2 linked regions of the Arabidopsis thaliana genome follow. The protein of the gene in region 2 interacts with the protein of the main gene of each other region in a pairwise test. Each region holds a gene or a part of one and is shown on either strand. Other genes may lie near its edges. The genes, in order: KAN2 and ULT2.

Evidence for each region.
Region 1: the proteins of ULT2 (region 2) and KAN2 interact in a two-hybrid assay, tested with the Arabidopsis thaliana proteins (one study listed by BioGRID).

The regions. Positions count from the first base shown.
Region 1 is NC_003070.9:11,624,860-11,632,594, forward strand, and holds KAN2 (Homeodomain-like superfamily protein), read right to left. Parts: upstream 5,887-7,735; 5' UTR 5,497-5,886; coding exon 4,785-5,496; intron 4,715-4,784; exon of another isoform or gene 4,689-4,714; coding exon 4,612-4,688; intron 3,183-4,611; coding exon 3,137-3,182; intron 3,006-3,136; coding exon 2,861-3,005; intron 1,928-2,860; coding exon 1,867-1,927; coding exon of another isoform or gene 1,807-1,866; exon of another isoform or gene 1,149-1,806; coding exon 1,023-1,148; 3' UTR 757-1,022; downstream 1-756. UniProt on the Arabidopsis thaliana protein: Probable transcription factor that regulates lateral organ polarity. Promotes abaxial cell fate during lateral organd formation. Functions with KAN1 in the specification of polarity of the ovule outer integument.
Region 2 is NC_003071.7:8,964,753-8,969,004, forward strand, and holds ULT2 (Developmental regulator, ULTRAPETALA), read right to left. Parts: upstream 2,492-4,252; 5' UTR 2,044-2,491; coding exon 1,842-2,043; intron 1,578-1,841; coding exon 1,093-1,577; 3' UTR 804-1,092; downstream 1-803. Other genes in the region: AT2G20820 (uncharacterized protein), read left to right, coding at 57-127, 270-303, 391-485; AT2G20830 (folic acid binding / transferase), read right to left, coding at 3,618-4,129. UniProt on the Arabidopsis thaliana protein: Putative transcription factor that acts as a key negative regulator of cell accumulation in shoot and floral meristems. Negatively regulates the size of the WUSCHEL (WUS)-expressing organizing center in inflorescence meristems.

The sequences.
Region 1 (7,735 bases), on a different chromosome or scaffold from region 2:
GTGTTGGTCATTTTCACTGTCGCATATGGATGGCAATCGTCATGCTTAATATAATTATGTGTGCTCGAGGAAGACAAAATGCTGAGAATAGAGTGTTGACGACTAAGGAAACATCAAAAACCTAAGTGAAAGCAATGAACTAAATATTCTTTGGTGGGAATCTACCTTATACATTAGAATTATTCTATTTTTCTCTTTAATGTCTTTTACTTTTTCCCTATCATATATTCAATGAACTTTTGTGGTACGTCGTCCATATAGTATATTTCAAGAACAAGTCCCAAAATTTATACTTTGGACCTAAAAACATATACAAGATTTGTTTTACGAGAATAAAGAGATATGGTTTGCTTTATTGTATAAGTTAATTATCTTTTCGAAAAGCTTATGGTGATAGACAGTTCATATGCTTTCTACCTACTCTAAAACCTTAAGGCCAATCATAAAGGTAATCATTAATCATATATTATCTATCATTCACGTCCATTTCTTTTCTTAACAAAACTGATTAACATTTCTTTTTGTATAAAAAAAGTAGATATTCTTCTTACAACTTTACCCATTCCTTTAATATGTTTGCTTTCTTTCATTCATGTCCTCTTTTGTCATTCTTTCTTTTACACCTTTTTCTCTCTTTTCTTTTTTTCTTTCTACTTTTTTTTCTTTCTCTTTTACGTCTTTCCTTTTTCTCTATTATTATTCTTTATCTATATATATTTTTTTTTGGCAAATCTTTATCTATATTTATATATCTTTATTATCAGATTGTAAAATAAAAGTTCAACCAAAGAGTACTGAACATTTATTGTGCCTCTAATAGTTGATTCTTTCACTAGCTCTTCTCAATAGAGAAGGAAAAAGAACAGTGTGTGTCAAAGTTCCAAGACCAAGATAGGACATTAAGATTTTAAGCTAAAAAAAAAAAAAAACTTATTCAATTGATATGAATATCGAAACTAGTCAGTAGCCAAAATATAAGTTAATTGATACTAATTAATTACTACCTAGCTACAACAATAAATTTAGTGAGATCGACCCAGAGTAAACTCAAGATTTGGCTTGAAAGGGCTTGTTCCCGAGATGCTTGATGAGCTCATCTCTTCTGATGATATTCTCTCATAACTTGAGCACTTTCCATCTAGTTCCTTCTGTTGAAATTAAACCCCAAAAAGAAATCATTAACCAACTAGCTAAATTTTCTATTGTATAAATGGTTTGCATTTTTTTATATGTACTTGTATATGATATCAGCATGTGAATGTAAATAATTTATAAATAAAATATTAAGTGCAGAAATTCACGCAACATTAAGTAAGAGTGATCTCAACATTTAACTAGGGTTTAAGGTTGATATTGTATCATCCATAATTAAGACATTAGTTCTAATTAGATGTAAGCTTACCCTATTTATTGTCCTATGGACTAATGTTTGACATTGACACAAATATATATACATAATTATATTTCTTATTGTTCAATGGAAGCTGCCATGGTTTTGCTTTTGCCCATATTTGCTTATAAGCCAAACATAGATAACCGCACCTCACGGCTTAAGCTTTCACAAGTCACAATATATGCGTGTCAAAGGTCAAAACAAAAACTCATCCTGGTCAATGTCAATGAGATTAGTTTTTTTTTTTTTTTTTCGAATAGTGTCTAAATAGCGAAAATACCTTTTGCTTTTGAAAATTCCTAAAGCAAACTTTAATGAAAGCCCTTTTTGTGGCAGCCCTTTTTAGGATTTCGGGTGACTTAGCAATGAAATGATTTCGACAATGCATAACTAAATTGATAATAGTTCATATGCTACACACAAAACATATTCGCGTATATATAGTTATATTTGTAGAAAGGGATGTATCGTACCTCAGAAGGTAGCATAATTTCTGCAACATTATCGATTAACTTCCCATGCAAACGTGCTTCTCTGCAAAAGCAAACAAAAGTTTGTTATATGAGATATATTTATGATATCCGCTTTACATAAATGAATAAATGAAAATAAACTAACCAAAGAAATAAACAAAAAGAGGAAGAAAGTGAAAAGGAAGATAAGAAATTACAAGACGAAAGAAAACAAAGTGTTTTCCTTTTGGTAATAACAAAGTTATTTTTATCTCTGTCGACTGGCATGGCTGTTTGTTTAACGTAAGCAAAATTGATAACGATTTAATATTATAGTCTGACATATATATTACTTTATTTTAGTATAAAGTTGAGAAATCAATCTTTTCCTCCTGTCCATGTGTTTGCCCATTTGTTCATGTGTTAACCATTTTAAAAGAGCTTTAATTTACTTAAATATCTCTAGATAATTTGAAGTCTAAAGTAGTATATCTATTTTTGTTTTCGTTTTGTTATTGTTAAGTTAGGAAAATAAACTCACTTTATATATATACATTAGATTTATGCATACAAATTTTAGGATTTTACTAAGATTTTCATGTAATGAATCACTTTGGAAATTAGCTTTTTATTTGGGGAAAAGTTTCTTCCACTAATTCGACATATTCATAATATATATAAGTAAGATCATTATATATATATATATATATATATGTGTGTGTGTGTGTTGTTGTGACTGTGGAGAGAGAGCAACACATGATGATTAACCCATCATGTGTTTTGTCTCAACTCGGATCTATTGGGTTTGTGGCTGAGAAAGAGACAAAACAGGACTACAAAGCAGAAACATAAACATTACCCAGTTCTTAACTACGCTAATATAGATATAGAAGCATGCACATGCTTAGCGAGATTCCACATTCCATATAGTTAGTTATATATAGTAACGATGGAAAAATCATCTATATCTAGCTAGGGAAGTATGTATAGATAGACCGTACATATATGTACGTACCCGGAAGAATTGGTCCATAGACCATTTGATTTCTCTAGAGGATTCGTCAATTCCTCGCTATCTCTCGATTTTCTATTCATATCGAACATCCAGTCGTCTGAGTTATTATCTCCTGATGATCCATTTTCATAGACATCAGATTGTCCTGAATAACATTAAGAAGAAAGAAAAAAACAAATTAGGGTTCTATCAGAATCACATTTCAATTAATTATTAAATCATATATATCCAATAATTTGACCCATAAAGAATCTGAATTATTTCTCTAACACTAACCTGACGAAGCTGCTGCTTTGTCGGTTGTCTTCACTGTTCTGTACATCTGATATTATAAAAAAAAAATGTGCATCAATATATAATTAAGAAGAGACCAAAGTAAATGATAATTCGTCTAAATCCGTATATAAAGATTAGAGAGATGCATGTATCGAATTATATGGAAAAGGAAGAAGAGACCAAAGCAAGGAGACCATTGTACTGTTGTCTTCCGACACAGTTGAATAGTACCAACCAATTTTCAAAATAAGAAACATATATACACACACATTTTTATTCTATATATATAATTATATATGCACAGACACATTGGAAGATAAAAAAAAAAACGAGAAGAAAAATATAAAACTGTTCGGACACAGAAGCATTAATTGACATTATTAATGAAGTTTGCGATTTTCATGTACCCATGCATGAATTTATGTGTCTAACCATGGTTAAATTCTAGCCCATTCAACATATGGAGAAGTGGAACCATGGTTAAGTTAATAAACCCTCTCTCTCTCTCTCTCTCACTGTGACTCTGTGTAAGACCAAAACCATTTCATCATTGAGAAATGATGGTGTTTCTTGTACTCTCCCTTTCTGTCTATATTTATTATTATTAAAAAAAAATCCTACTACCTATATATTCATTTAAACTAAGAAATAATCCCTAATTAGATTGTCCTAAGATTTTGTGTTCTTATAGGCATATACAATATCTACATATACATTACAGAAACTATAATCAGGTAATCCTTAATAGATGATAAATATATAAAACATATGATTACGCAGAAACAAAGTCTAAATTTTGGTTTATAACCCAAGAAACAATGGATGATAAGAAACCAAAAGTACTAATGTTTTGATTGATATTCTTAGGAGATTTTTGTTTTTCTAATAATTAGCACAATCACTTACGTAATTTCCCCATCTCTCTATTTCTCTCTCTACCTTTCTATTCTATGTGTGTCAGTAATAGTAATATTGAGTAATTTTTGGTTTACTTGTAACAGGACAAGTTTATTCTTCCAAGACGAAATTTTTTTTTTAGACTTGCAAAAAGAAGACTGTCTATCGTCTATCTATGAGGACCATCAGATCTAACACGAAGAAACGAAGAAGAGGATTTTGAAAAATGTTTTTTTTTTTTTTTTTTTTTTTGTTGTATAAAATATGTATGGAATGTTTATATGCATTTTTCTTTTGTCTGTAACGCAACCAAGGAATGCATTATTGGTATGCAAAATTGGATTTAATTAAGATAAGAATAAAAAAAGGAAGGTTCAGAAGAAAACAAGATTCGATCTCTTCTGACTCGAGTGGAACTCTGATTTAAGGAAGTCACCGAGTCAAATGCATCGATACCCGAGAAGAAGATTATTATTATTAACTAATTACATACTTATTATGTACATTTATCTTTTTCTTCCCATCTAATTATGTACTTAATATGGATGAATTTGTAACAATACTGTTAATCAATTTACCTGTAAATGGGACTTAACATGAGCCAAGGTTAGATCTTTGACATCCATGAGCTCAAGAACTGATTTAGGTGTTGCTCCTAATTAGCAAGTGAATAAAACAAAAACATGTTTAGTTAAAAAGGGTAATTAAGAAATGGAAAAAAGAGATAAGCTTTAAGGTTAAAGGGACATACTTTCATGGCCACCGAGTAATTCAACGGCGTGAACGAACCGGGCATGAAGAGTGGTGGTCCATCGCATCCTAGGAGCTCTCATGCTTCGTTTAGCTGGGAATCTTGGCATGAATCTGGCTCTGTTTAGAGTCTGGTGATGATGATTGTGGTAATTAGGGTTACTAACGCTACTAGTATTAAAGCTATTGTTGTTTCCGGTTAGAGCCGGCGAGGAAGTGGAGGAAGAGGGTATTAGAGACGACGGGTCGAAAGGGAAACATGGCGGTGGCGGACGGTGAGGATGATGATGTGGAGGAGGGTTGTGGTAAAGTGGTATTCCTCTTATTGGTCTTAAGTGAGTATTAAGGTCGTGAGCAAGAAACCCTTGTAAGTGTTGTTGTTGCTGCTGTGTCGGAAATTGGAAAGAGGTCAAGATGTTAGAGCTGTTGCAATTAGGGAGAAGTTGTGGATGATGATGTTGTTGTTGTTGTTGATGATGAGAGATGTTAGAGAGCGAGAGGTCTTGGAATGGATGATTGATTGTTTTTGAGGTGGAATTAGAGACGAGAGAAGATGTTCTTGAATCAAGAGCTCTTCTCCAAAACCCTAAATCGAGTTCTTCATGATCTTCTTGATCTGTTGTTGATCTTCTTCTCTGCCATGTCGATGATGGTTTACTGTTTGGTGGACTTATTTGTAAGGATAAATCGGGCTGAGCAGGAAACAGCTCCATGAAAGAGACCTTTAACTTCTTCTTGAAGAGATTCTTCAGTCGGTTTCCACAGATGATGAACCCTAGTTCTTGTTTTCTTGAATTAGGACAAAGAAGATAAAAAGAGAAAGATATCCTTTTTTATTAAGGGTATAGGGAGGAAAATAGAAAAGGGTATTGAGGATTTGAGGAAGAGATTTCTGGGTTTTGTTGAGAATGTTGTTTATATTGTTTGAGGTTAAGAAGATTTTGCAAAGATTTTTGAGAGATATAGAGGGAGAGAGAAAATCAATGACAAGGTAGTATGTAGTGAATGGTTGTTTCTTTTGTGTGAAGTATATGTGAGAAAATGACACTTGAGTGTGTGTGAGAGAGAGGAGAGAGAAGGTGTTTGTGTGGACATGGGGGGCTAGAGGAACTTAGGTTAAGAAAGGGGGAAGAAAAGCAAAGGGATAAAGAAAATGAAAAGAGAAAAGAGAAAGAAATTGAAAATAAAAAAACAAAAGTGGTAAATGGTAAATAAGGCTTTCTTTTTTCTTTCTTTCTTTGCACTCTTTTGTTTTCTTTGGAGGAGAAAAGTAAATCCTTTATTTGTGTTTTCAAACCATTTTTATTGTTCTTTTCTTAGTCTACATTCCACCTTTTATTTTATCTTTTCACTCCCTTTTTTTTGTTTCTTCACTATAACCAATAAATTTGAATAAATGGAATTTTTAAAAATATATTGGTCTCATAATTAGTGGATTGCTTAAATTGAGGTTAGGCACTTCTATATGGTTTTCTGATTTTGTTCTAATCATTTCTTTAGCGATGGCCGTAAGAGGTTAAGCAAATTAGTGACCTACGAAGTTCTAAGAAAAGTCGAAATGTTCATTTTGTAATAAAGTGATTTTCATATGAAAATTCCTTCGAATGTCTTTTTCTAAACATAAATTAAGTAAAATATTCATCACATGAAGAAGAATAGAAAGGTGAAAACTTTGGAATGGTTTATCTTTAGCATCCCACACGCTCTCTATCCTTTGCTTTTAACTGAAACCCAAGGTTGATTTCTCCTTTTTATACACCCTATATTCATTCCAAAAAGAAGAATAAAATTTTAATAAAGGTTAAATCACAAATATTAAAAAGTAGGAACAAAGAAAAAGATGAAAAGTGAGAGTGAGAAAAAGGAAAAAAAGAGGAACAAAACAAAGTTTGCTTATTTTAGCTTGTATGACTCTCTTTCACATGATTATCACTTTTCTCTTCTCCCTATGTTTTTTTTCCTTGAATTATACCTTAATGATTAAAAACCCTTACCACATGTTTTTTGAATAATCTGTTTCCTCAGAGTGATGTTCAAATCAAGTCCAACATAAACTCTGCAACTGCTACAGTGAATATCTCAATGAACGATAGCGACCAATGTGAATTACTCGAGTACAATTAATAACTGATTCCAAAGTCTCATATATATATATATACGGTATAAACCAGTGTTTGAACCAATCCATTTATTACTAAATACTGCTGAATTGAAAATCTAAAATATTAATAATGTATGAAATAATTCAATTGATTTATTATTATGGTCATTTACCGAAACAAATATTATGTATTACACGTGTTTTATATTATTTACTTCAACACGTTATAATTGAAATTTTAATTTCTCATTAAAAAACTACCTAATATAAAAATAAATATAAATAAAAAGTAAAAAATAGAGTGAAGAAAGTCTCTCAAGTGAGAAACTATGAGAAACCTACGAAGACACTTGTTTATTCTCCATTGATCAAATTTTATTTTATAAGTAAAATCTATTTATATAACTAATATTTATTAAAATACTATTTTTTTTTTGAGAAATCCAAAGAGTATCTCACTGATGGAAATGCTTTTATAGAATATAGACGATTAAAAAAAAAATTGTTTGTTTGGTGTCACATTTGACAAAATGCATGCAAAACAATCAAACTATATACAAATGAAGTTTACATTCGAAACTTCAAATTAATTAGTAGAAATTTGTATCATGTTCATAAAACCAAATTTAATAGCATGTCATACAAAAAGGATTGAAACCTTCTAATTACAGCCAATATTGTTGTTCTTTGTCAAAAGGACAATCAAAATATTTAAAGAAAAAAGTCCAAACCCAATCAAATGCCTAATTTTAAACAATAGTAATTTAGCTATATTGATTTACAAAAAAGTATGAAGAAACCAATAATCACATCACTCACTACATGGAATAAAAGAGAGGTTCATTGAATAA
Region 2 (4,252 bases):
GTATACAAAAAATTGAGTTTTTGAGCATTTTGTGGATTTGTCTGTGTACTGTGCAGATCACCATGGATCTACCAAGGTTGACTTCTGGAAACAGCCCACGAACCCAGGAAACTGGAAAGAGGAGCATGTATGTATCAATCATGTGTTTGTGACACTGTGTTTTTGTTAATGAAAGCTGTGATTTTTTGTTGAATTGATTCCTTCTGTTACCTGACCAATCTGCAGTTTGTGCTTATTTCTCTGTCTGGCTGGGGCTTACTTTTCTACAGTGGATACAAGCTCGCCACTGGGGGAAAAAAAGAGGTACTTACTCTTGCTCTTCAGCTCTTGCTCTTCTTCCATTGCCTAGAGGCTTCGGGTTCCTTCCCTTATACATAGTTTTTTTTGCAGACGCCTGTGGAGAGTACACAATGAGTTTCATTGTCACCAGGAAGACCTTTTATGGAGAGACCTCTCATTCTCATGCACTTTGTTTTCCCTTTTAGCAGATTGTGACTGGTCTTGTGTTTCATTTTGAAAATAATTTGCATCACTTTTGAGATCTGATGATGTCTGCAATGGATAAATTCTTGACAGTTTTGTGTTTCATAATATCCTATGTTTGAAACAGACAGGATTTAAGCAAATCATTGTCTCACTACGTATGTTGATATATGCTTTCGAGCTATTTCCTTCCATTCTATTTGTCTGGTTTGGATACCAATTTTTGTTGGAGGTATTTCTCCATGTATGTCGTCCACCTTCCAAGTACATATTGGCTAATCCAAATGTTTGTAGCTGCTCTTGTCTCATGCTTTTATTCTTGACATAGTTTATTCAGCATACTATTACAGTCACTGCTTGCTTCTTGTTATCGATCTCCTGCCTTGTGTGTATTTGCCGAGGTTATATGGTTGAATTTAGATTAGATTCATGTCCTCGTAGTGGTGCTAAGTTAGTTTTCCAAGCCCCAAGTCGGTTTTTTTTCCAGTATGTGATCCCTACTTGGTCTCTCCACTCGCATAACAGGTGTAACAAGCTACTGATTAAAGAAAATGCAGAGCATACATTACAAGTTTTTGCAGAAGAATTAAATAAGTTAGAGAAATGAAGTCAAATGGGTTTGGCATTGGTGGTGAAATCGAGGCAAGTCTGGCAGTTACAATCAGAGAAACGGCAGAGCTTGCAGCCGAAGCAGACGCAAGAAGTGCAGCCTTTGCAGGACGGTGAGCGAGTGCAACCTCTGAACACTTTCCTGCTCCCTCTTTCTTCCTCCTCCTCGCATGTTATCTTGTCGTATGGGTAATCGCAACACTTCCAATTAGGCTCAGCAATTGCATCATGGTGCATCCGGCATTCCCCTCTGCTCCTCAATCTGAACCTCCTCTCCTTCCCGCATGTGCTGCACCCAACAAACTCATCCCGATGAATGACTTTCGATACGTTAGAGTTCTTCAATGCTTTGTTGTAGTATCTGAGCAACACTGTCTTTGAAAGCGGAACCTTGTCTCCTTCAATGAACACCCAAACATTGTTCCTCCAGTTTCTAGAGGTTTCTCTCTCAGAATGCTTCTCGAAGGCAGCAGGCGTCAACTTGTCTACCATCATAGAATGAAAGCTGTCAATCAGATCACTTTGAAAGAAACTCGAACTTGTGATATAAAATGGAGATACATTACAATGTAAGGTTATCCCACACTCTAAAAGACTGCATGAAACATATCACATCTAGCAAATACAAGCAGCCTCATAGTTCACCGAGGCCAAAGAACAGTTACATTGCATTCTTGACACTATCATGAATCCATACACATTCACATGGAACATGCATATAGAAAGATGTGAGAGAGAAGAAGAGGAACCTTCGAGACAAGCAGGAGTGCATTGGCAGGTGATTTGAAGTTCTCCATCTGAAAATATCTTAAGCCTCGCAACGGCGTCTCCGTAACGGTGGCTGGTGCAGCCACACATGACCTCGACGTAATCGTCTCCCACATGGACTCCACTTATTTCTTGTAGCTCCTCTTTGCTGAACAACTCCTTCGACCCACATTCTCTCTCCATCTCCGATCGGGACCAAGTAAACCACGACGAAGGGCTCCTTCTCCTTCCTATGAAGTATTATTATATAGGATCAGAGCCCTAAACACCAAGGGACAAGAAGGTAATTTGACATGAGTAAACGAGAAAAAGCCCTAAAGGAGCTAGCATCAGTAGTAACGAAGGATCTGACAATTATATAGAAAAATCTCAAAGGTAAAAGGCTTTTGGAGTAAAACAAAAAGAGAGAGAGACTTTGGTGTTTTTCTAGGTTTTAGGGGATTTGAAAGAAACTCTCTATAGAGACAGAGAGATGATGGATGCAAATTAGGTGGCCAAAGAAAAATACAAGTCGTGAGGCATGGGAATTGTGAATCTTTTAATTTTTAGAATAATATTTTATAATATTATCTACGTTAACGTTCATACATAGATGTGTTCTTGTAATTGTCCATATATGGTTGGTTGATGATAAAAGAGAAGAGATTAAGTAAAGTTGTTCTCTAAACCCACATGTAATTACCTCTTCTCTTCTTTCTTTTCTCTCTTTTACTTGTGACTTTTGAGCTCTACAGGTTTCATGGGTCTACCATTTATGTACACAAATAATGCTTTTTTTCTTAAGAGTTAGGTGTATGATAGTCGCATCTGGTCCTTATTCTCCATTGCGGCCCAACTCCAATGTGCCCATACATATGTATGTACATGTATACACATATACAAGGACACACCTAACCTTTAATTGTCTACGTCAATGTGTGTAGGCATGTCATAAATTACATTTTTTTTGTCTAAATGTAACGTATACTCCTTCCGTTTCAAATTAGTTGTCGTTTAGAAGTTAAATTGTGTTTCAAATTAGTTCTCGTTTTGATGTTTTTGACGAATTTTTTAATTTATTCTTGTTCTTTTAACCTATTGATTGATTATATCAAATAAAACAACACAATAATTAGTGATAAAACAGAAAAAGATAAATGTTCTTTTAACCTCCTTCCCCTTGTTGCAAACCCAAAAAAATGACCAAGAAGAACTCAAGTCAATAACGAGCCGCACCAAACTCCACCTCATCCACGTTGTTTTTAGAGACTTTTGACCCTCGAATTTCACCTACGACCAAATTAATAGAAAACCAGTTGTCTTTTCACTTTAACAAATCATATAGACCACAACCTCCATATATATAAATTTGAAGGACAAAGATTGTTAATTACCACATGGTCACGATGCTACCAATAGTTCACTATACATTAGTTAATGACTTGCATGCATTGCCATATAGATATATGCAAAACAAGGCAAAATGCTAAGAAAACAACAGCTTTAAGAACCACGGCAAAAGACGAGGCTACACAAAACAAATCTCTCACAGTTGTTGAGGAAAAACACCAATGATGAGATCTGATGTTTTGGCCTCTCAATGAACGTACCATCATTTTATCATTTCACTTTTTATTTAATCTTTGCTAATTTCAATTGTCACTCATGGCAATGTATATCACATCTAAACACAAAATGAAGATAAATGATCGATGTCGGTAATAATACGTTCTAAGAATGACAACATCATACTGTTTTTACTTTTTTTACTTTGAAATTTATGAATTGTTGAGCAAGTCCATATATCTTTCAACGATCTGGTCAGGTGTATAGTCCGTATAATACCCTTTTCCCACAAGCAGACCTTCCTCTCTGCCAAGCCTCTCGATCAGTCCCTGTACTTCATCTCCCCCCACTTGGCTTGGATTCAACAAGTTACAGGCAACCTCTATGACTCCTTCCCCGTGCACCAGCGCCATTGTCTGCACTGAAGCCAAGCCCCCTCCTCTCTCGCTCGTCTTCCTCGCTATTCTCCTCACTGCCTTGAGATCGTTTGACATGACAGGCACGTTATAGTTACTTACCCACCCACACGCCCCAACCGCTACAACCCCTTTGGCTTTGCTCACCTCTTGTGGCCCTGCGTCTGGCTTCAGTGGCACCATCTCCAGGTCAAACCCACCTGCCCATTCATGTCCCTCCCTGTTTGCCTTGAAGTACCCCAGCTTTCTTCTGATCGAATCCAGGGTGCACTGCTCCTTTTCTGCTGCTCCATAGAGATATGTAGGAACTGCACCAAGGTGGGTCATATATCTCAGTCCAGTCCACATATCAATATAGAGATTGCTACAAAGACTTCCAAGTTCTATGGCCTAGACGAAGATGAGATTTTAAACACAGGGCATCACTTTGC